Arabidopsis thaliana: one gene and its partners. The protein of the gene in region 2 interacts with the protein of the main gene of each other region in a pairwise test. Each region holds a gene or a part of one and is shown on either strand. Other genes may lie near its edges.

What was found.
Region 1: the proteins of PUB22 (region 2) and AT5G42220 interact in a two-hybrid assay, tested with the Arabidopsis thaliana proteins (one study listed by BioGRID).
Region 3: the proteins of PUB22 (region 2) and ABCF5 interact in a two-hybrid assay, tested with the Arabidopsis thaliana proteins (one study listed by BioGRID).
Region 4: the proteins of PUB22 (region 2) and HSPRO2 interact in a two-hybrid assay, tested with the Arabidopsis thaliana proteins (one study listed by BioGRID).

What each region holds. Positions count from the first base shown.
Region 1 is NC_003076.8:16,870,216-16,878,326, reverse strand, and holds the start of AT5G42220 (Ubiquitin-like superfamily protein), read right to left. Parts: upstream 6,090-8,111; 5' UTR 5,833-6,089; intron 5,371-5,832; 5' UTR 5,366-5,370; coding exon 5,237-5,365; intron 5,143-5,236; coding exon 5,025-5,142; intron 4,721-5,024; coding exon 4,622-4,720; intron 4,530-4,621; coding exon 4,414-4,529; intron 4,320-4,413; coding exon 4,233-4,319; intron 4,058-4,232; coding exon 3,863-4,057; intron 3,776-3,862; coding exon 3,706-3,775; intron 3,634-3,705; coding exon 3,479-3,633; intron 3,348-3,478; coding exon 3,183-3,347; intron 3,106-3,182; coding exon 3,034-3,105; intron 2,963-3,033; coding exon 2,845-2,962; intron 2,768-2,844; coding exon 2,525-2,767; intron 2,452-2,524; coding exon 2,303-2,451; intron 2,220-2,302; coding exon 2,028-2,219; intron 1,907-2,027; coding exon 1,376-1,906; intron 1,152-1,375; coding exon 1,014-1,151; intron 935-1,013; coding exon 872-934; 3' UTR 850-871; exon of another isoform or gene 595-849; intron 226-594; and 1 more. Other genes in the region: AT5G42210 (Major facilitator superfamily protein), read right to left, coding at 7,759-7,827.
Region 2 is NC_003074.8:19,440,107-19,444,058, forward strand, and holds PUB22 (plant U-box 22), read right to left. Parts: upstream 2,322-3,952; 5' UTR 2,145-2,321; coding exon 837-2,144; 3' UTR 511-836; downstream 1-510. UniProt on the Arabidopsis thaliana protein: E3 ubiquitin-protein ligase that negatively regulates water stress response. May control in coordination with PUB23 a drought signaling pathway by ubiquitinating cytosolic RPN12a.
Region 3 is NC_003076.8:25,916,215-25,922,310, forward strand, and holds ABCF5 (general control non-repressible 5), read right to left. Parts: upstream 4,041-6,096; 5' UTR 3,480-4,040; coding exon 2,652-3,479; intron 2,559-2,651; coding exon 2,217-2,558; intron 2,040-2,216; coding exon 1,899-2,039; intron 1,807-1,898; coding exon 1,627-1,806; intron 1,520-1,626; coding exon 1,262-1,519; intron 1,157-1,261; coding exon 1,028-1,156; intron 943-1,027; coding exon 742-942; 3' UTR 508-741; downstream 1-507. Other genes in the region: AT5G64830 (programmed cell death 2 C-terminal domain-containing protein), read right to left, coding at 29-115, 206-298; AT5G64850 (sorbin/SH3 domain protein), read left to right, coding at 5,371-5,388, 5,652-5,930.
Region 4 is NC_003071.7:16,699,989-16,704,201, forward strand, and holds HSPRO2 (ortholog of sugar beet HS1 PRO-1 2), read right to left. Parts: upstream 2,349-4,213; 5' UTR 1,969-2,348; coding exon 661-1,968; 3' UTR 502-660; downstream 1-501. UniProt on the Arabidopsis thaliana protein: Positive regulator of basal resistance.

The DNA of each region.
Region 1 (8,111 bases), on a different chromosome or scaffold from region 2:
ATTTAGTCTTTTTCACTCTAGAAAAGTCATAAGTAAGAAAAATTAGCGATGAAACAATTATTTGCAAAACTCATCACAAAAGACAGCTTGTCTTAGGAATGTTCATGATCTCCGATGTCGCTAAGTCATGGCTCGCTGATCTTGAAAATCTCTGAACCCATGATGTTTTAGTTCAATTTTGTCGTCATCCTTAATTTTTCCGGTGGTGATCAATTGTTCACAACCCTTGAATACGTAAAACCATAAAACAAATTTTAATAATCTTTTAGAAATTAAATATAAAATAAAACAATATTATTAATTTGTCATAATCCAAAATTATAAATTTGTACAACAAAACAAACACAACAACTTTGTAATTTTAAACATATTAAAAATTCATAGTAAATTTTATAATATATAATTTTTTATAAAAATTAAATAATATATAACATCTTATTATTGGGGTTGTCGTGACAGTTCATTTTTCTGAATTATTCTACTATTTATTAGTTTACATTCCATATTTATTGTGCAATCTTTATTACCTATTTGTTAAGGAATTAAACTAAATATATAATTTGCTACAGTCACTCGTTAGTGTAGCCCTTTAGCCAAATTTTCGATCAAAACCAAAATTGTCAGTTATAAAGGGACACCTTTTTCCCAAGTAATTTGGTCAATGTCGAGAGTTATGAGTAATCTCTGGTTAAAGATGGAAATATCAAATTGAATCGGCCCTTTAGAGACCAGATAAATTACGTTTGCTTATGTTTAGCAGAGTATAGACCATCCCAAACCCTAATTCTTAATACATAAGTGAGGGATCTCAGCAAATAAACAAAGATACTTCAAAGATATGACACTTACAGAACCAATTCAACCAAATATCTTATAGACCTTGATCATCTTTTAGCCGGCCTTCGATATCACGTCTTAGCAACTCCGCATATTCCTGCAACACTCAAATACAAGTCTGATCAAGGAGTCTTTATTTTTATTAAACAAACAAACTAGTCAGTTTTGATGCTTACTTGAGAAAGAGCTTCATCACAGCAAAGCTCGTTCACTAGTTCGTCTTGGCTTATCGCAGCATTTTCGACCATTGCACGGAAGACATCCTCTGGTGGATCAGAGTGCTCAATCATTTGAGCCATGGATTGAACATTTACCTATTTGGAAAAAGTAGAAAAATAACATTCATTACACGAGATAGAACAAGAGACAATGACGTTTATTGTAATACCTAGGTAAGAATGGTGTTACTTTTTCTACAACTAAAAAAAGACAACAACAAAATCCTACTCAGTCGATAATAGTATCAGTTTTTCTTCAGCCACATTTTTTTCCTAAATCAAAAACGCAAGAAATCCAAACCTAACACTCGTAGATGTACCTGAGAAGGTTGACGATCATCAGGCTGTATTGTTGCGGGATGAGGCAATGGCCCTCCTTGGCTAAAAGCACGTGAGACTAGAGGCATCATTTGTTGGACCATTCTAGAGAAATCAAAGCCGCCGCCCTCGCCTTGAGCTCCACCTGACATCATATTTTCTATCTCTTGCCCATCCACCTGTTGCGCAATCTGTTGGACTGTGTTCATGATCTGTGGATTCTGGGTAAACTGCTGGAGCATATTTCTCAGCATATTTGGTGAATCAACACCAGCTTGTCGAGATACCCCTGCTAGCAATCCATCCAATACAGGGCTCTCCAGGACCTGAGACATTGCACTTGAGACATCTACACGATCATCTGAACCTTGCCCGCGTCTAAGACCAGTCTCATCTGAACGAGAACTACCAGAAAAGAGAGATTGCAAAAGCTGCTGACCACTGGTCCCACTGCTTTGTTGCACACCTTCAAGTGTAGCTGAAGTCCCGCTATCTTCAGTCTTACCTGATACCTTCGGCTGCTTGCTTCGTTTCTTTAACCAAAAAAAACATACTATGACTGTAAGCATTTGGAACTATGACACTTGTGGATATGCTATGCAATGAAAAACAAGCAGCAGCAACTTGACGCTTATTTTTCAACTGATTCATTACCTTACGGTCTAAACCGCCAAGCCCCAATCCAAGTGGTGTAGCTGTAGCTACCTCTGGAGTAGCCTTATTGGTTTCTTTGGCATCACCGGTAGCATCTCCAGACGGAGCTGATGATTGTCCTGTAGTACAAGAGGTATCTTTTGCTCGGGCTGGATGCTCTAAATCTCCACCAAGATCTTTTTCATTTTGACACTGGTTGAAAAAACAAAAATTAGTGGTAGGCTAACCCTGGTGAACATAAAATAAAGAATCATCTGATTGCAGAGAAGACATACCACTGAGTTGCTCCTCTCAGATGGTAAGTCATGCAGTGAGCCACTAGACGACTCAGGTGCGCAAGTAGTTGCAATGTTGGTAGGCTGCTCAGGCATAGCAGTGGCAACACCATGGCCCGTAGACATATCCCTCTCGAGAGATTCTATTCCTGATTGACACGTGAAGAAGAGCTTGAAAACATTTCGTCCACAATGTAAAACTTTAGTCAGCAGGAAACCTACCCGATGGAATCTGGTCTCTTCCTTGCATAATGTTTACCATATCTCTTATCCTTGCATTGATTTGAGCAACTGAAACATCATCACCCAAACCAGGTTGAACCCCAGCAGAAACGTTCTCACCGGTAGAGTGTGATGGAACAGCCGCAGGAACTGAACTTGTATTGCTGTCACGGTCTCCTTGTCCTCCTTCTCCATTGCTTCGCTGGTTCCCAACTGATGACAACATAGGTGAACCTGATGTGCCTGGTAATTAAGTATGAATTTTAATGGAGAAGAATTGTGCAGCTAAGTCCAATAGCAAAAAAGTGAACTTCACCCACCAGCATGTATGTGAATATTAATGTGCCTTTGGGCAGTTCCTAAACCAACAGGTCCGGTTAGTGGATTTGATGAGACAGTAGCACCAGTAAAGAGAGGGCTGATTTGGTGAGGAAAAGGCTGCAAAATACAGTAATAATTACATAAAAGTAGAAAATTAATTTAGAAAAAAGATGAGACTAGAAGCTTACCTGAACCATAATAGGATTCGGTCCTGATGGAGATATATACACAGCAGGCCCTGCATTCACATAGGATAATTCCTGTAGATCAAAGTGTTAATGAGCCGCATGTCAAGAATGAATAGGAAAATGCACGAAAGGAATGACCCAAAACGCACCGGCGACGGTGCCATTCTCAATGTCAAAATTGTGCGTCCAAGCTCCAGTAGGAGGGCCCCTAAATGTTGCATGGCAAGACCTACTTGCACGGCCTCTGTCTGGATTTGTGACCTTAGAGTAGGATCTGAAGATGAACCATCTTGCTCCAGACGTCCCGCAATATGCTACAACAATGTTTTTGCAAATTACAAACAGCACATAATTAGATGACAATGCATGGTAACCATATACATAACAGTTCTTGTAAAGAGAAAGAATGGAATCAATTAATAAGCAGTGTGAAGAAGGTGTTTACCGATAAAGAAGAGACACCGAGACCACTCAGTAAATGTTGTGCATTCCTTAGGACAACAGAGAGTGCTTCAGGTGTTGCTGCACCTCGTCTATTTCTAGGCAACTCTTCCCTTGGTCGCCCTCCGGATCCAGCAGAAGAGGTATCTGGCTGATAGCCTGGAGGAACATCCAATTAACTTATTTATGTGTTCTCTATCCAATATGACAATAAAACTTAGATCACAATACCATTTTGTGATAATGCCTGCTCCATCCGATTAATGAACTCCATTAGAGTGTCTAAGGAATCCGGAATAGGCTGCAGAATTAGAGAGTTACATTGTAAAATGACAAGATTAAAGCTCTAGTCTCAAGATCAAAATACTACTACGTGACTAAGAACTACCGTTAAGAATGAAGGGATAGGAATCGTTGTGGCTGCTGTAACAGGAATCTGAACTACACGAGGCATCGATGTTTGAAATGATACACCAGGAAATGCTTGCCTAGGTTGTGAATGACCCGTAGCTTGGCTTTGACCACCAATGCCAGGCTCTCCATCAGATGTATTTCCAGGAGGTGCATTAGACGACTGATTCGACTAGGAAAAATAAAAGCGCATGCAACATCGAGTTTAGAAACAGGCAATAGTTGATGACAATATGAAACCTTACACATCAAATAGTAACAACACCTGATTCTCAACAATCCTTAATGTAGACTAAGCACTAATATGGAATAAATTCGAAATAGAGAGTGACGAGAAAAAAACTCACGGGCATAGAGGATTGCGTGCCATTAGTACTGTGATTTGTAGGAAGCTGTCCACTAACTCCAAAAGAATTTAGAACTGCTCCAATGACCTTAGTAGTTAGCAACACAAAATTAAAAGCAGGTTAGCCTAACTAATCAAACCATCCCATAGGCCAAACAATATCACAAATCCTTGGGGATTACCCGGCTGAGGTCTGGAACAATGCCTTCTGTCTGATCTCCAACATTAAAAGACCCAAGAACTACGCTGTGGGAGACATGTCTTCCATTTCGAGATGGTCCACCATTTGTATTATTTCCTGTTGAATTAAATAACAAGTTGAAATAAGATGATGGTTGTGTTAACAGCTCTTTTAAAACTCAGAAAGGGGATAAAAAATAACTTGATTACCATCATTTGCAGTTGCCCCTTGTGAAGGTGTACCAGAGGAAGGAGCTGATTCTGCTGGCTGCCTCACAATCAAGTGTAAAGTATGCCCATTTTCCAAATCTATGACGATGTCAAGTTATCAACTATACTGAAAGTAGAAAAGCGATGGAAGGAAACGACAGACATAAACTAAAACTAAGCTTATCGAAGGTATATATATATATATAGTTCTCTTTCTGGATTACAGCTTCCTCTACGGTGTAAGACTCACAAAAGCAGAGATGCACTTGATCAATCAAAAACTAGACTTCCGACAGATTTGGTTAACATGCATTTTATACACAGGGCACATGGCATAATGCAACAAACAGCTACACTATAACATAAAATCAACAAGTTAACAAAGTCGCTAGCACTAGGATACGATACTCCGAGAGAGGATGATCATCTTTCAAAACCCGTCCTCGGAAAATGAGCCGCTGCTGACCAACCGGCACCCCTGTCTCACTAGCAATCTTCTCCTTGAATAGCAAAACAGTTTCCTGCAACAAGTCAAGCCCTAAGCAGTATCAGATATAAGCAAACTAAACTTAAGCAAATATGCAGGTGAAGCAGAAGAAGAAGAAGATTTCTTACATTCTTGTTCACTTGGAAAGTATACGTCCGCGAGTCTAACGTTTTGATGTTAAGCTCAAGGGTTGATTCTGGAGTTTTCTCCGACGCATTGGTGCTACTAGAGCACTGGTTAATGGGTTGATCTTCCATGAACCCTAAAGTATTAAAATTTAAAAAACATAAAGCTTGTAAATTCATCTTACAAAAGAATGATCTCATAATAAACAATATTATCTCTAGGGTACTCAAATCAAAACCTTTACCACACACATTTCCAGATATTGATCATACAAAACAGAATCAACAATGAGACACAAACAAATGACATAACTAAATGCTAGTCATTGTAACAAAAGACCAAATCCTATATATATGCAAGTCATTGTAATAAAAATGCTAAAAATCAAAAACTTTCACCATCCAAAGCCACAAACAAAAGACCCAGACCCAAATAAATGCAAGTCATTGTAATATCACTGTTCAAAAATCAAAACTTTCACCGTCCAAACCCAAAAACAAATCTGCTAAGGCAAAAACAGAGCCTATAGATACGGAAAAAAAGGATCAAGATTTAAGAAAAAAACAATCAAATTCCATGAAGGCAACGAAGAACGAACCTATTTGCCGTCGTGGGGTATTGAAAAATTGAAACTTTGGCGGAACAAAAGACTCTCCGATTGAAATCTAGAGAAGTATCTCAAAGTTGAAACACGAAACCAAACCTGATGTGTTCAGAGTTAAAGGGGAAGAACAAGGGCGATTGTGTCGGGAACTCGGGATTTTGGTGAAATTGAAAAGAAAAAGAAGAATCTAGAGGAGGAAGATACAACGACGACGTTTTGAAAACCTGAATTGACGCTTCCGCGAATATAGGCCTAGTCTCCGCTCTAAATGTGGACTCTTCTATTAATAATATAAAGCTGGGCCTGGCCTTTTTAACCATATCTAAAATAAATTTTAAACATGTGCTTCTTTTTCTGTTTTATTATGTAATTTTGATTTCTAATATTTAAGTATTTAAGTTTACACATAACTGGATTAATCATGAAGATTATGGTTTACATATAACTGAAACGAATCTATGTTATTGTTGTCGTTAATAATGGTTATTATTTTATTATTTTTTGTCATCAAATTATATTAATGTTCAAATGAGTCAACTTTAGAAAAAATTGTTTACATATATGAAGCGATTCAGTACGAATTTTTCGTGCCAAAGTATTCGTTCTAACATTTGCAGTATAAGAGATTAGAGATAGAAACAAGCTTGAGATTTTTTTATTGTCACTCAGGCAAATCTTTCAAAATTGTAGAATACACCGGCCATTAGGTTAGGGAAAACACTATATTCATTAGGTTTGAACAGTCTGTGAAAAACACTACATGTTGGTTATGTGTCGAAAGATCATTTAAAGTTTAGTCTGACAATTTTGCGGCAGTGTATATGCAAACAACAACAAAAGTAGAACAATCAAAGCATATAGACATAGAGTGTCATATTGTGTGAGAAAGGATTCAAGATGATGTGGTTTCAGTTAAGCATATAGGTAGAAATTTCATGAAAGCGGATCCGTTAACTAAAGGTATTCCACCTAAAGTTTAGTCCACATTATTAGTTAAAATACAAAAACAACTAGATTTTAACCTGTGGTATACCGCGGGAACAATTTATTTTTTAAAGTTAGTATATATAAAAGTTTACAAATTGTATCTATCTATAAAATAATTTTATTTTATAGTTTACAAATGTTATTAAGTATCGTCCTGTCAAACCCGTCCTGTAAAAAAAAAACTATTTATTTTATTAATGTTGATCTTATTTATGATATGTTTATGAATCATTGTCTAAATATTTTGTAATTTTGTAGTAATTAAATGCTATCAGATTATATCTCTGCGCTTTGATGATTATAATCGAATTGTTATAGTTATGGAGAAAATCAATATCAAAAATGATAATTTTGTAGTAATTAAATGATATTAAATATTTTGGAAGTATTATTTTAGTAAATAATCGTGTAGTTAATGTGGAGATATTTTGGGAAGATTGTTAAATGTCAAATATTTAATTCGAATATTTTCTTTTTAATTATCAAAAACAAACATTAAAATCCAGTGGCAGCCATTGTAAATAAGTCACAACTAAAGGATTTATTTCACAAAATGGCTGCAAAAATGTATATATAGATTATAATAAAACATGTTTCAATTATGTCTATATATACAAAAATAATTATGATGTATATAAATAAATTTAATGATACAAATATTGGAGCTATTTTGTTGCTTTAGACAACTAAACTAACTTTGAACTCAAAAAAAGAAAGAAGATATCTAAATTAACTGAAACGGCCATTAAATATGGTGTTTCCCCTAGGAGTTATTGACTAACCTATACAAGCTATTGGTGTCTTGCTGACTTTAGATATCATAAACCCGTACACAATATGGGTTAAAAAAAAACATCAAGGATTCGACCAATGCAATTAAAACCTGTATATTATCTTTCACTACGAAATCCATATGGTTTTGAGGAAACTGTGTTATGGAGATCCCATAACTGATATTGGTGTTGCTGCTCTGATCATCAGGCTTTGGATGAAAGCTATAGTCTACAAAGAAAAACAAAGTAACGGACATTATATATATTATTTTTCTTAGTAATCGAACAACTCATATAACTTTGAGGAATCAATTAAAAGGTTTATATGTTTCACATACATTGTCATATAACTAAATGTTAAACCAAAAAAAAAAGAACTGAATGAGTTAGTGATTTTTCATGGGAAATTAGATAAGATTTAAAGTTTCCTTTTTGCACAACCAACAACAGCATTCGTTGTGAATTAGATAAGAGTATGAAAACTAAGAAAGTAAAAACTAATTAAAAGGATAA
Region 2 (3,952 bases):
CTTCGATCTACCGATAATGAAATGTCTATTGATCGTTAAAACGCATGCAAAGAGTTTTCGTAAACAGTTTTTACCACGTTTAGTCTAAATCATTTTAAACTGAGTGATCTAAAAAATCACAATAAGTGAATACAAAATCACATATATATGAAGGACTTTTGGTATGTTTACATAATAATTAAGAAAACAAATCTTAATTAAGAATTTCTTAAAACAGAAACTCATCCTCGAATGAAAGAATGCCCGTCGTGGATATCGTCGATGTATACTGGAATATATAAATCAATAGTGGGATTAGAGTTGTAGAACGTACCGACATAATATATATATATATACATAATTACATTCGCAATGTTACAATTCTGGCATCAATTAAATGGTCAGAAACGTTACACATGACGCATACAAATCTCTAAAAGTATTTGTAAAAAGTAATGGTTTTAGCAGAACTATGATGTAACCTTTAGGTTATCCACTCAATAAAAACGAGAAGTTGAAAGAGATGTTCTCCATTATTATTGTGAGTAATGGACAAAAAGAATATAAATAAGGAGCCTCTAACAATTACGAACAAAGCAAGTGGGATAAAATAGCCATGTAACCTGTGAATCCATTTATTTCTTTGCAGTTTTTTCATAATTTCATGAAAATATGTCCACTATTATCTACACATAATGATAAACATTGAAAGATAATAAAACAAAAACAAATGAAAGAAAATCAGAGTTTGAGCAAAATTTAAACCACTCTTTTTTGTTTTAAAATGAACTTATACGAAGAATAATTCTCAAAGAATTGTTTGTATCTGATGAGAATTATTCAAACATGTACGTTGTTCAAGCAGGATACGAATCATACAAATTTCTTGGGACACAAGGTGATTCCCTCCAAACCCTAGCGTGAAGCTTAAGCAATTCTTTAGCCTTTTCTTTAGTCTTGTTACCACAGCTAACTTGAAGTACCAGACACAGCTTTGCTACAACTCCCAATTGCAACATCTCCTGCAACAAAGAGGGTGTCGCGCAGAACCTCCCAACCGAAAGCAAAACCCTAACTGCCCTTTCACTAGTTATTTGTGAGACCCTCAATATCTTCTTAGACACAACCGCAATAGCGGCACCGTGATTCAAGAACTCAGCTCTTCCTTCTGCGCACTGACATAACATATCAAGAACCACCATCGCCATCTCTGAATTCCTTCTCTCTGATGAGAAAGTATCGTCCATTAAAAGCTCGATTATCATCGAGATTGTTCCACCTTCCACTGCCTTGTGTCTATTCCTTCCCCATGGACATGTGATCACCAAGATTTGCATTGCTGATCTTGTCGCCTTGTGAGAGATCTGGTCGTGCAAGATTTGAATCACCTCACCGAAAAGTTCTCGTTCCAACAATATGATCTGCATTGGATCCGCAACTTCCAGGAGCTTCTTGAGAAGCAAAGCCGCATAGGCTCTTGACTCGTAGATCCCACGTTGCATAATCTTCGTCAACGTTTTCACAAGATTTGTTCCTTTCTTGTTGTTTAAAAGACTCTTGAGGGCTGTCTCCGATGTGTCAAGATGGTAGAGTACGCTTAGGGCTTCGTCCATCAAGCTTCTTGAAGAATCAAATCGATTCTCCAACATGTTTGACTGACACATGTCGTTGAGATTCGAAGAAGAAAGTGAAGAAGAAGGAGAGTTATACGTATCTACAGAGTTGCTTACGATATTTGCCAAAAACTCCGGAACTTCTGCGGCTTCTAAGCACCGTTTGTTGGTTGTATTCTCAGATACTATTTGACGAAGTCGTTTGAGGCATTTGACTTGGTTTAGATGCGAAGATGACGACTCTTTGATAAGCTTTTCGATCTCCGATTTACAGATCGGAGGTTTTGGAGTTGGGATCCTCTCTATACCATATGATGCGTTGAGGGTACACCAAGATTGAATCAAACGGCGAAGAGTGTGGTTTGGGGTAAGATCAGTTTCGGTTATGACTTGTTTGGTGACTGGACATGAGTTTTTCTTACCGGAAAAGAGCCACTTCTCGATGCTTTCTCGGTCGTAGGTTATTCCGGTGGAAACTATCACCGGATCTTTCATGATATCTAGAGAGATTGGACAAAGGAAGAAGGAAGGAATCTCTATCTCTTGATCCATTTGACCCGCTCGAAAATATGAAAAAAAAGAAGTAGACTTAATCAATGGAAACGACGAACGAATCTAAACAAAAAGCTTCAAAGTGCAGTCGTTGAGATTTAGGAGATATGTGAATTGGTTTGAATAAGTTAGCAAGAAGATAGATGAAGAGTTTGGGTCTTTAAATATAAAGGGATAGTGGAAATATTCAGAATAATTACAAAAGTCAAAACACGGAAAATACAAGTATTGTTAAAACTCTTTTTGGATAGCTGTCGCTATTTATTTATTATTGTATAGTTTTTTATTAGAACGAACGAGGAACGTTATATATAGATTTGACTTTTTTTTTGGGTGGTGTAACAAAAGAAACTAAACTATAAATGCGTTTCTCATATTAAAAAAAAAAGTGAGACGTATGAAGAGTGTTGACTTGTCAAAAGAGATGCGATAACGGCGAAGAAAGTGTAAAAAGTAACCAAGTCATTGGGGATTGGTTGTGGCGGTGTTGAAGACAAATAGATTGTCTGTTTTGTGTCTCTTTTTCGTTTTACTCACATGCCATAATTGCTTATTCCTCCTCTTTTTTTGCCATCCCCCATTGACTTTTTATTTCATTTTACAAAAAATTGTAACCTAAATTGGCTGGCTTGTTTCAATTTTCAAAACTATGGTTAATATAACTGTTAATCAACCGAAAGGTAGATGAAGATTTTTAGGTTTTTAATTTTGTCAACAAAAAGAAGATTACTGTTTTTGGTACCGACAAAACCTAAAGTGCCATTAACGGTCCGTTGTTGGATTTTGTACATTGTTTTAGGATGCAATCTTTTGTGATACTTTTGGACCCATACTCCCTTGTTATGCTCTACTTTTGTCTAGGCGCTTCCACAATATTTTGGATATTCATATTTTCAGTTATTTTTCCTCTCTTTTTTCCTTTTATCTTTATATATATGTTGGCTTTGATCTTAGTGCCAATGGATATGCCTCTCATCTATTGGCAAATGCATAAACTATATACGTTTTTTATCTGCTTTTGGTTATCACTGAAGTTTTGGTATTCTTTTGAGTCTGATATCTATTTTGGTCAATTACATTCGATTAATTAAATAGTTTTGGTATGCATAAACTATTTTGGTACCACTTGTGGGACATTGATAACTCAGTCTCTTCAAGTTGTTTTATCGTTCTTCCGATTATCAGGGATTCACTTAATGTTTTTATAGAACGTTATATCATTTCATCTTGACAATATATATGAGTTTTTGATCTGTCGATGGACATCTTTACTTCCATTTTTGTTTTTGCCATTAAACAAAATCCATAGGTTCTACAATCCAGTAAACTCTAAACATTGTCATTTTTAAAGAATTACATACATTTTTAACCAAATCTATATCTATATATATATACCACTTTGTGTTTTCCAAAGACATCTTTCGATTTCAAACATTTTAGTTATTAAAAATTGCATATATTACGAAAAAGTCAACATAATATGATTTACAGCTTTATATACCCTATGATTAATGAACTTATGAGTTATGATATTGGTTATTTACTAACGTTTAAGTAACGGAATGAAAAGTGTATATATGATAAAGATTTTCTGCTGTTTTTTTAAAAAAAATATACGAAGAGGATATCATCGATAGTCCGTTATCCTTAATCAACACTTCTATACCTTTTAAGATTTCAAATGAACTGATATTTCTCTTGTCATAGTTTGGCTTTGGTGGTTCTTCATGAGTCTTTAATTGTTGGTTTAAGACTTTAAGCCATTTGCTGTTTACATTGTAACTATTTCAACCTATGTTATTATTTGT
Region 3 (6,096 bases), on a different chromosome or scaffold from region 2:
GAGTGAAGCTTTGGATTTGAACAAAAACCTGAGCTACGAGAGAAAGTTTACTTCCACATGAACAACAATTGAGTAGTTCTGGTTTCAGTGCATCATCGGGTATTGGCGGCCAATCCTAAAAACGCACTTTGATCAAAAATCAGAACGAAAGAATTGAGCTTTCTATGAAAGGAAGGAACAGAGAGAGCTAGGAAGGAGTTATTACCGGAAGACCACCGATTTTGGTTGTGTAGTGATCAGAAGGCTCAAGCTCATCTTCTGCCCACTTCCCAGGCAACCCCAGAAGAATTCCGACCATTGTTACAGTTTCCCGATCAAAGTAGAACAGAGCTCTTTGGTGAAAATAGCTCCTACAAGGTTTCGAAACTTTCGTTGTATCGAATGCGATGTTGATGATGATGAAGAGAAGAGAAGAGTAGACCCCGGTTAGTGCTTTGAGATAAAGCCCTAACCGGTTTTCCCGGTTTCCAATCGAAGTAAATGGTTTAATTGAGTTGGACGAATATTTGAGCCAATATTAGGTTTTGCACTGAAATTCAATGGTTTGGTTCGGTTCGGTTCCATGTTTGAGAATAAAGTTTCTTAATTTTTACCCAATGGGGCTCAAGTGTTGTAGAAACATTAATACTCTCTCTGCATTTCTAAAAGTAATATCTATATACATTCCACAATGACGATTTTGTGAGACTGTGAAGAAGCCTTTTTTATAAATCTTGACTCCTTTCAGTTTTCAATGTTTGTTCAGTTCCATCTCTTGGAGTTCTTGCTAGCCTTTGACTTCTGTTTAGCTTGTTGAAATGCTTGCATCTTCTGCTTCTTCCTCGCTTCTTTCTCTGCTTTTGACATCTTTGACTTTGCCTTCACTTTTGGTGCTTTCTCTTCTAGCTCTGCTTCTCTCTCTAGCTCCTTTGTTCTAGCATCCAGATTCTTCTCCAAGTAATACTGAGACATTCACACATTCCAAAAGTTAATACAGAGATCATATTATACTGGAAAAAATGTAGAAAGAGTGCAATCCGAAGTGTACATTGTAGTCGCCTGCATAATCTTCTAAACAACCATCTTCTACTTCTATCACTCTGTTAACGATTTGTTTGATGAAGTATCGATCGTGGGATACCGCAATGACTGTACCTTGGTACTCGTTTATCGCTTCCTGATTCAATTGAAAAAGAGAATTAGCCTATCTCCAGGTCCAGGAACAGAGTTATTATCATTGTATCCAAAGATTCTCAACAAATTAGAGATGCCTACTACTAACCTCGAGCATTTCTTTTGAAGGAATGTCTAAGTGATTGGTTGGTTCGTCCAAAACGAGTAAAGTAGATGGCGTCACCATGAATTTGCAGAAAGCAAGACGCGCTTTCTCCCCACCACTTAAAAGAGAGACCTTTCGATCAAGCATGTCTGCTTTGAAGTTGCAGCGTCCAAGAAGACCTTTTATATCATCACTTCTCCAGTCTTCTGCAGCTTCACAAACAGTTTCAAGCACTGTTTTATCCAAATCAAGGACCTCAGCCTAGCGAAAGAATAACCAAAGGGTTGAAACCAAATTATGTCAATAAAGTGAGCAAACCTGTCTCCAATTGTTTAGCTCTTGAATTGATTGAGTAAGTGAAAACTGACCTGATTCTGTTCAAAGTAGTTTGGCAGTACATTGTGCTCTCCAAGAATAACTTCACCTTTCACAGGCTTCTCTAAACCCATAATTAGCTTCAATAACGTACTTTTCCCACAACCGTTTGGCCCAAGGATGGCGATTTTCTCCCCTCTTTCTATTGATAGATTAGCCTTCTTAAATAGCATCTGCTTTTTCAACAATACACATTTTTCACAGGGTCAAACGTGAGCGATTAAGGATTTATACTATTGTCATGAGTTATACTCTAGTAACTCACCTTATCCTCGAAACCAAAATCAATGTTTTTAACATTGACTACCGATCTTCCACTTGTCCCACGCTCTGGAAACCTAATCTTCATCTGCTTCCGCTGAAATGGCTTCTCTATTAGCTCCTGTTCTTGAAGCTTCTCTAGTTTCTGTTACAAACAATACAAGAGGAAACATAAGCTTCAACGTCTCCAGACGGTTCACAGATAAAAGAGCAAGCCAGAATATTGGCTTAGGAAACAGTAGAAATTTTTTTCCATTAATGTCACGCCCTAGCAATCACCACAATAGTTCAGCAAATTAGCATATTCTTTTTGTTTGCAAACCTTTTCTGCAGTGGAAGCACGACCAGAATTGGCACCAGCACCAAGCCTGGCGATCAAGTCCTTAGTTGAGTCGATATCTTTCTGTTGCTTTTCCCACGCTGCATTCTGAGTTTCGATCCACTCAGCCTTTGAGATCACATACTGAGAATAATTACCCTCAAATGTCCTGGACACACCCATCTCAGTTTCCACAATTTTAGTACATAACTGATCAAGAAAGGCTCTGTCATGTGAAATAATAACCATAGGCACATCTTGCTTTTGCAAATAACCTTCAAGCCACTCAATAGTATCAAGATCCAAATGATTTGTCGGCTCATCAAGTAGCAGCAAATCTGGATCCTACTCGCAAAGAAACACACAATTCATTCACATTAGCTTTGAGTTCAAACTCATTGAAAGGATAAAACTTTAAGTAAACAATCATTCATATACCTGAAGCAAAATCTTTCCAAGTGACATTCTCATTTGCCATCCACCACTAAACGAAGCCACAAGCCTATCAGCATCCTCAGGAGCAAACCCTAATTCCGGCATCAACTTACTAATCTTAGCATCAACGGAATCTAAATTCACAGCCTGAGCTCGTCTCTGCAACAAATCAAATTCATCTAATAACCTTCCCATAAGATCCAAATCATCAACAGATCCCTCAATAGCCTTCTGAACTTTCTCAAGCTTCTCAGTAATCTCCATCTCTTCCTTGAAAGCAGTCATGAACTCTTCCCTCACAGTCTTACTCATCGAAACCTCAAATTCCTGGCTCAAGAAAGCTACTTTCATATTGGGTTTGGCCTTGATTACGTTACCAGAATCAGGCTCTTCTTGACCAGTGATAATCCTGAGCTGAGTCGTCTTCCCAGCTCCGTTCACACCAACTAACCCTACTTTCTCACCTCTCTTCACTTCCCATGTCACATCTTTAAGCACAGTCACGCCTTTGTAGCTTTTCCTTATGTTCTCTAGCTTCACACCTGAAGATATCCCAGAAGCTCCGTTTTTGGAACTCTTCCCGTTTCGTTTCCGATCGGAGTCTTGCTGAGAGGGTTGCTTCGAGAAAAGAGATTCGATTTCGTCTTGACGCTGTTTAACGGAGGTCTCGAGGCTGATGGTGGAGACTTGGGCTCTGATGGTGGAGATATCGCGTCTAGGGTTGGAAATGGAAGAGATTTTGATGAAATTGGAAGGGATTGGAGATGTACGTAGACCGGTGAAGAAAGTTGAACGGAGGTCGAGGCTATGGAGATTCGTTGATAAACCCATGGTTATATGTAGCGATAGAGAGCGCGAGAGAATCTCGCTCTACTGAAGAAGAAGAAGAAGCAGCAGAGTAAGAAACCCTCGAGAGAGAAATCAAAAGCTTTGATAAGAGTTTCTCTCTATCGTTTTGAGCGTGAGCCACCAGATTTTATTTGATTTTTTTATTAGTTTGTATTTTTTTCTCTATATTCGAAAATATATCATTATCAATTATCAATAAATAAAATCAATACTTAGAAAATAAATTAATATTATTGACGACCAAAAAAGAAAAACCCAATAAAATTATCTTCAGTTATCACAAAAAATTGGAATGAAAATAGTGAAAAATCGAAATATGTATGGAGCATGAAATATGTATGGAGTACTATTTTACAATAAAAAATGTATTTGGTTGCAATGTTTGTAAGTACTAATGGTAGTTGTATTGCAACTTTCTATGAATGACAAGTAAATGCATTCTACGATTGTATAATTCTAGTTTTTGAAGACCATATTTTGATATAATGCCAAAGGAAAGAAGTGATACAAATCGGAGTATTCATTTTTACTAACTTTGAGTTCTCTGCCACATGCAATGCAATGTTCTTACAAAGTCAATAAATGGATATGAAATAAAGACAAATATAACACACACAAAAAACAAACGAAAGAATCTAATTTTGTGGTGAGGAAGAAGGAGAAGAGAGGGTAGAAGTCTTGAAGAGATAACAAATCCGGTGAAGTTACCTCTTTTGTGGTTCACATAGCTCCTTTGAAAAACAGACACTTCTCATACTCTGCCACGTGTCTAACTATATCATCAACCACGTCAGTTTCTCTGTGGATCTCTTCACGCCACATCGTCACGCAACTTGATTTCTTTTTAAATTTATAGTTTTATTAAGTTTTTGGTCGTTATGTATATGGTTTTAGTAAGTTGAATTCGTAATTACAATTTTAAATGAATATGCGTCAACTTATTCACCCGTTAATTTTAAATTGGCTGTTCATGGAACTTAAAACGTACGAGCACACATCTTTTTTCTCAAATATGACTGAAATAGTGAAATTGGAAATGAAAATTAAGAATCAACATGTATATATATCATGTAACGGCTCGCATCATTAAACATGAATTTATGTTAATCGCCTCCATGACTAAATAGTTCGGGATTGTTAATAGCAGTCATACAGTTGACGAAGCAAAGTCGTACTTATTTATATCTTATTGTGGACTTTTTTGTTGCTGTAGATGATATTTAAGTGGATACAGATTCACTAACGTCGGCTAGGTTTGATTTTATCTAACAAAATACACAAAATGATGTGAGTTTTTTTTTTTGGGTTCTTAGTGGAGTCAGTGTGTGTATTCATTCAGTGTTCACTAACCGCTCTAGGAACAAAAAAGATAAATGAAAATGAACTAATCAACTCCAAACAAATTTTGCTTAAGCTATTGGAAAAACATATCACTATAAATTTAATAAAATCAGTTGCCGGCCTTCAAATCTTCACCAATAAACTTATGTTTTAATATCATAACTTAAAGGTTAGACCATTAATCGACAGTATACTAAACGACGTCATTTAACAGGAAATGAGAGCAAAGCTGACGCGGATTAAGCGTGTGTGCGTGTCCGAACGAATGGCAGTATCGTAATTAATGCACAAAAGCTAACCTTTTCCCGAAGCAGAAAAAAACAAAATAAAACAAAAATATTTTTGATATGTTGTGTACAGTATAGTTGTATCACCACCAATCGACCTGTTACTTTGCTGTATTAAATTTTGGTATACTTTTTCTTTCGCTTATAAATTGCTCTGTATCACCCATCTTCCTCCTAAGATCATCTTTAACTTATTATAAAAAAAAAAAACAGGATTCACTGCTAGCTACAGAAGCTTTGATCACATGGAAGATCGAAAAGAGGTTTTTATTTTTTATTTTCTGGTCTAATCCCTTCGTCTTCTGTGTTTTCTCCTTACATAATATTAAAGTTAAAGTGATACATTAAATAAAATGGGATGTTCATGTCAACTTCTTGCATTAATATTCGATTTTGATGTGAGAAATTAGTCTCTGAATCTTGGTGAAAAAGTCTTTTTTTGTGTGATTGATTTTTAGGATTGTGTTTTTTTCTTTCTAATGGTTCTTGAAAATAAAAGTAATTGAAATGGAGATTTATTTGGCAGAACAAGAACTCGCCATGGCTATCAGTACCACAGTTTGGAGATTGGGATCAAAAAGGAGGATCAATTGATTACTCAATGGATTTCTCAAAGATCAGAGAGATGAGGAAACTCAACAAGAGAGATGCTTCTCGAGCCAGTCTTGGCAACGAGGAAGAACTCATTAACCCTTTTCATGATCAGCCTCCTGTTGATACTGCCAAGCCTAAGAAGCTAACTACGGTTCACAGTGACAACAACAACCGCAATGAGTTCTCTCACCATCACCCACACTCTCCTTCTGTAAGATTCTTGTTGCTCTATCTTAAAGATTCATTGTTTTGAATGTCAGTCCATTGTATATGAATTTGTATTAGCTCCTGCGTTCATTGAAACCGGTAGGTAGGTGTTTTGACTTGGTTAGGATATGAAATCCAACTTTTTAGCCTTATATGGTTTATTTCTGGCA
Region 4 (4,213 bases), on a different chromosome or scaffold from region 2:
GTGAGCGTCAGAGGAAGGTAGGAGAAGGCATCAATGATACAGAAGATAGGTTATGTGCCAGTGGGCCTACAAACAGGCCCATTAAATGTTTTTCTTGGACTAATGAATGAATACTCATTCAAACACTTCCCTTCTTTCTCTTAATGAAATTTGTTGAACACAAAAAACAGAGAAAGGCAATGTCGTTTTATACATCGGTTTGGTTACTCATCGTCGGTTTGGGTTTTTTATAACGTTTTTGTGTGTGTGTTTATCATTGAATTTTGAATATTATACACTGTGAAAGTGAAATTGTGTTTTTCTCATAATTTAACATCTACAAAGGATAGGTGTGAAATTGTGTTTTTCTCATACACTAACATCTACGAAGGATAGGTGGTGATTTGTTGACGATTAGTCAGAGCATATAGATTAGTCGTTACTCGTTAGTAGACCACCCATATTTGAATTACGACTTGTGGATAATTCAAAGTATGGATTACGATATTCGTAAATGTTATCGTTTGTTAAAAAATCTCATAAATCATATAAAAATGAATTTGTATTCAAATATGGATCGTCAAATGTTCCAAAAATTTCACTATCTTACAAACTAAATTAAACCAAACCACCAATTTAAATTTATATTAAATAATTATACCAGCAGAAATTAAAATTTAATCATCCCAAATGACTCCAAAACTCTCCCAGAAACGTCTTTGCCGCGTCAAGGCTCGGGAAATACGTCGGCTCCATAAATATCTGACTCAGTGAGTCACACGACTCTTGACTCGCCGTCGCGTTCATCTCCGCACTTCCCATCATAGCCGCCACTAACTGCCTATACCCAAAGAAGAAACTCTTCGCCGCCGCTTCCACCGCTTGCATCCCCTGAAGCAAATGAATCTTATCGCACTCTGTCTTCCTCGCGTAAAGCTTCATCGCCGCCTCTTGTAATCTTGGTCCTCCGGTTGGATCTACCTCAACCGCCAAGACCGCCGGTACTTTCTGTCTCAGATCTTTCGACATCTTCATCATCTCCACTAATCCTTTAGATCTGAAACAAAACGCATCGTTTTTACCCGTCGATTTGATCTGTAACTGTTTCTTCAATTTCAAAAAATCTTCCGGATCCATCAACATATGAAGATCTTCAATCTCCGCTAAAATTTTCCAGATCTTCTCCAGCAAGTAAACATCGTTTGAAGCTTTTCCGAATTTCTCTTCTTCGATACTTGAGACGATTCGATTCAGAAGATTTCCAGATGCGTAGATCCACGATTCGAGGATCTGGTGAATGATATAGAGAGTTTGATTCTCGTGATTATCGATATGATCTGCGTATGGATTATCCTTGAGGCTATAGATCTCGTTTGGTCGGCAAATCGCATCGTACCGGAGATTTGGTTTTCCGGCGATGTTTTGTTCACCGAGTCCGAGCGTGTACTTACACCGACTCATCTCGTTATCGATCGTATATAAGATCTTCTTCCCCAAAGCCTCTGATCTCCTCCACGTAGCTAGCTGCGGTAACAAACTCAACGAACTCCGTCCACCGCCGACCGGAGCCTCCGCTGATATACCTTCTTCTTCTTCATCTTCGCAGATCGCTGCTACAAGCTGGATCTGCTTCGTGATGAGAGAATCTAGCCTCCGGTTCCATTCACGGTGGTTGATGTACGGTCTAGTATCAGAACAAACGGCGAAAACTAATCTGAAACTGATCTCCAAAGCTTGAAGAGCTGGTTTGAGAATCGGCTCTGATGTCCATTGAGGAAAATCACGAGATGACCAGAGCTTTCTTAGCTCAGGGAGACGAAGGTAAAGCTCGTAAGCAGAGCAAAGAGCAGGTGCTGAACATGAGATCGGAGATGAAACAGGGACGATTTTGAACGGTGATGGAATAGTTACGTGAAGCTTTGAAGAAAGCTTAGGTGAGTTTGGTAAATCTGATGATACCATCTTCCTCTTCCAATCCATATCAACCATTTTTATTTTTTTAAGGTCTGTGTTTTTTTTGGTGTGTGTGTTTGTGTTTGTGTGTTAAATTTTGAATTTGAGGATGAGTTTAGGATACGAGGAGAGTATATATAGAGAGAAATGTGGATAGAGGATGGGGACGAGAAAAAAGGCGTGTGGAATAATACCGACGCGACTGATTTGAAAGTCAGCGTAGAAACGCGGTCTCCTTTTTAAAAAAAAAAAAAACCAGTACTGTGGATTAATTTCAGGATAATCTTTTTTTCGTTTTTTGGCTTTATATTGCTTTTTGAACTGTTTTCTATGAAAGGTAAATGCCTGATGATTAGTCGAATGTTCAGTAATCTGATTTCTAAGGAAATATCGAATATTTTCTCGTTTTTGGTAAGATATTATCTTTTAATAAAAGTTAAAGTTAAAACACACAGTCATGTTCATAACATGTTAATACATATATAGAAATGTTTTATTTGATGATATATGCGATGTAGTATAACATTTAGGGGTTGATCGATAAGAATATAAAATTTTCTGCAAATACATTTTTGAAAGTCAGTCATGCGTTATGGGTTGTCACTTATGAGCAATATTTACAAGCTGTAGATAGTTTTTGATCGAAGCAAATATATAATAATTTTGATAGTTGTCGATCTACAGCTACAAGTTCAACTAATCATGCACATGGTGTTTTGAATATATATCAACAATCGTAAAACATAACAGGTGTCATGTACCACATAAAACTGAAAGAAAACAATGTTTTAGTTGCAAATATGAAAAACGTCATTTATTTTCTATAATGAATTGAATAGAAAAAGAGAGAAAAATCACGTATTTGTTTATGTATATTTATGTATAAAACGGACAAAATTGTGAAATTTTAGTAGCGTAATGACGGGCAATTAAAGAAACTCAAGAAAGCATAAACTTAAATTCGCAACACTAGAGATTTTAATACATGTTTGATGTTTCCCTACAAAAGTTATAAAAGCTCTATCTATAAGGTCAAACAATTAGGATAATACTTGCAAGTAGGAGCATTATAAGACAAATATACGTTACGATAAAATTATTGCTCAAAATTAAATTTGGATACTAGAAAAGTGTATAGTCCGCAGTTTTCACAAATATAGTGTCCCCTAAATTAGTACTGTATCGTGTTATCAGTATTTGAAACGCGTATATAATAAAAATGACTATTTTTTATTGTAGTGTGGATAAGCATTTAGACGGTGCCGTGTTATGAATTGAAAAAGGAATGGCACATGGAAGTAGGAGGAATATAGATGCGAAGCTTATCCAAAATATGTGAGGAAGGTTGGAGTTTGGTCTCACTTAATCTTCTAATAGTGTTTTACTTGGAAGCTGTCGTTTCCTTTGACTTTGGTTTTTCTTTTTTCTTTTCCAGTTCAATATTCTAATCTCACCGATTTTTTTGTTTATTTATTATATACGATAGATAAATTTTGATTGTAATAAGACTGTTTTGAGATTTCTTCACCAAATCTCTTTTAAGTGCATGAAATATATTTTTTGTGACCAAGACTTTCATGGATGTTTCTGTTAATTTATCGGTACATTGGATATTGAATTTAATTAATACTATCAGTTGGAAACGGTTCGAGTGAAGACAGACCATTTCTTCCATTACATATTAGACATTAGACAAGTAGATTATAACAAAGGACAAATGATTATATAGTTTGAAATACAAATTAGTGGTCTATAATCTTCTTTATGTTAAGAGTTTTCTTTTCAAATAACTACTTATGTTTTAATTGGTATTGTTTACATCTATTTTACGTACGTCACTTGTTTGCACTTTGCACTGATCAAAGCCATCTTTAACAATAACGTTTTTCTACAACCAATTACACCCGCCTAGTAAATTCGAGACACATATTCTCTTTAAAAAGAATAAAATGTTACAACTAGTAAATTCGAGGCATTAGTCTTACCCTAAAACCAACTTTTTATATATGTTAATAAATACACTTTCTTTAGCTATATTGTTTTGGTTACTGAATCATTCCACTATTCATATCATTTAATATACATCCTATACTATTACGTTTTAAAAAAAATATATATATATGAAAAGTATGCAAAGAAGTTTGTAGATTGACGACAAAAAAAAAAAAAAAAAAATGTAGATTGTCTGCTTATTTTCTATTTTCCTTCCTCATTCCTTAACTTTGAATTCAAATAACTAAAATAAGTCATCTTTTGAGGAAAAAGAAATTTAGTGCATATA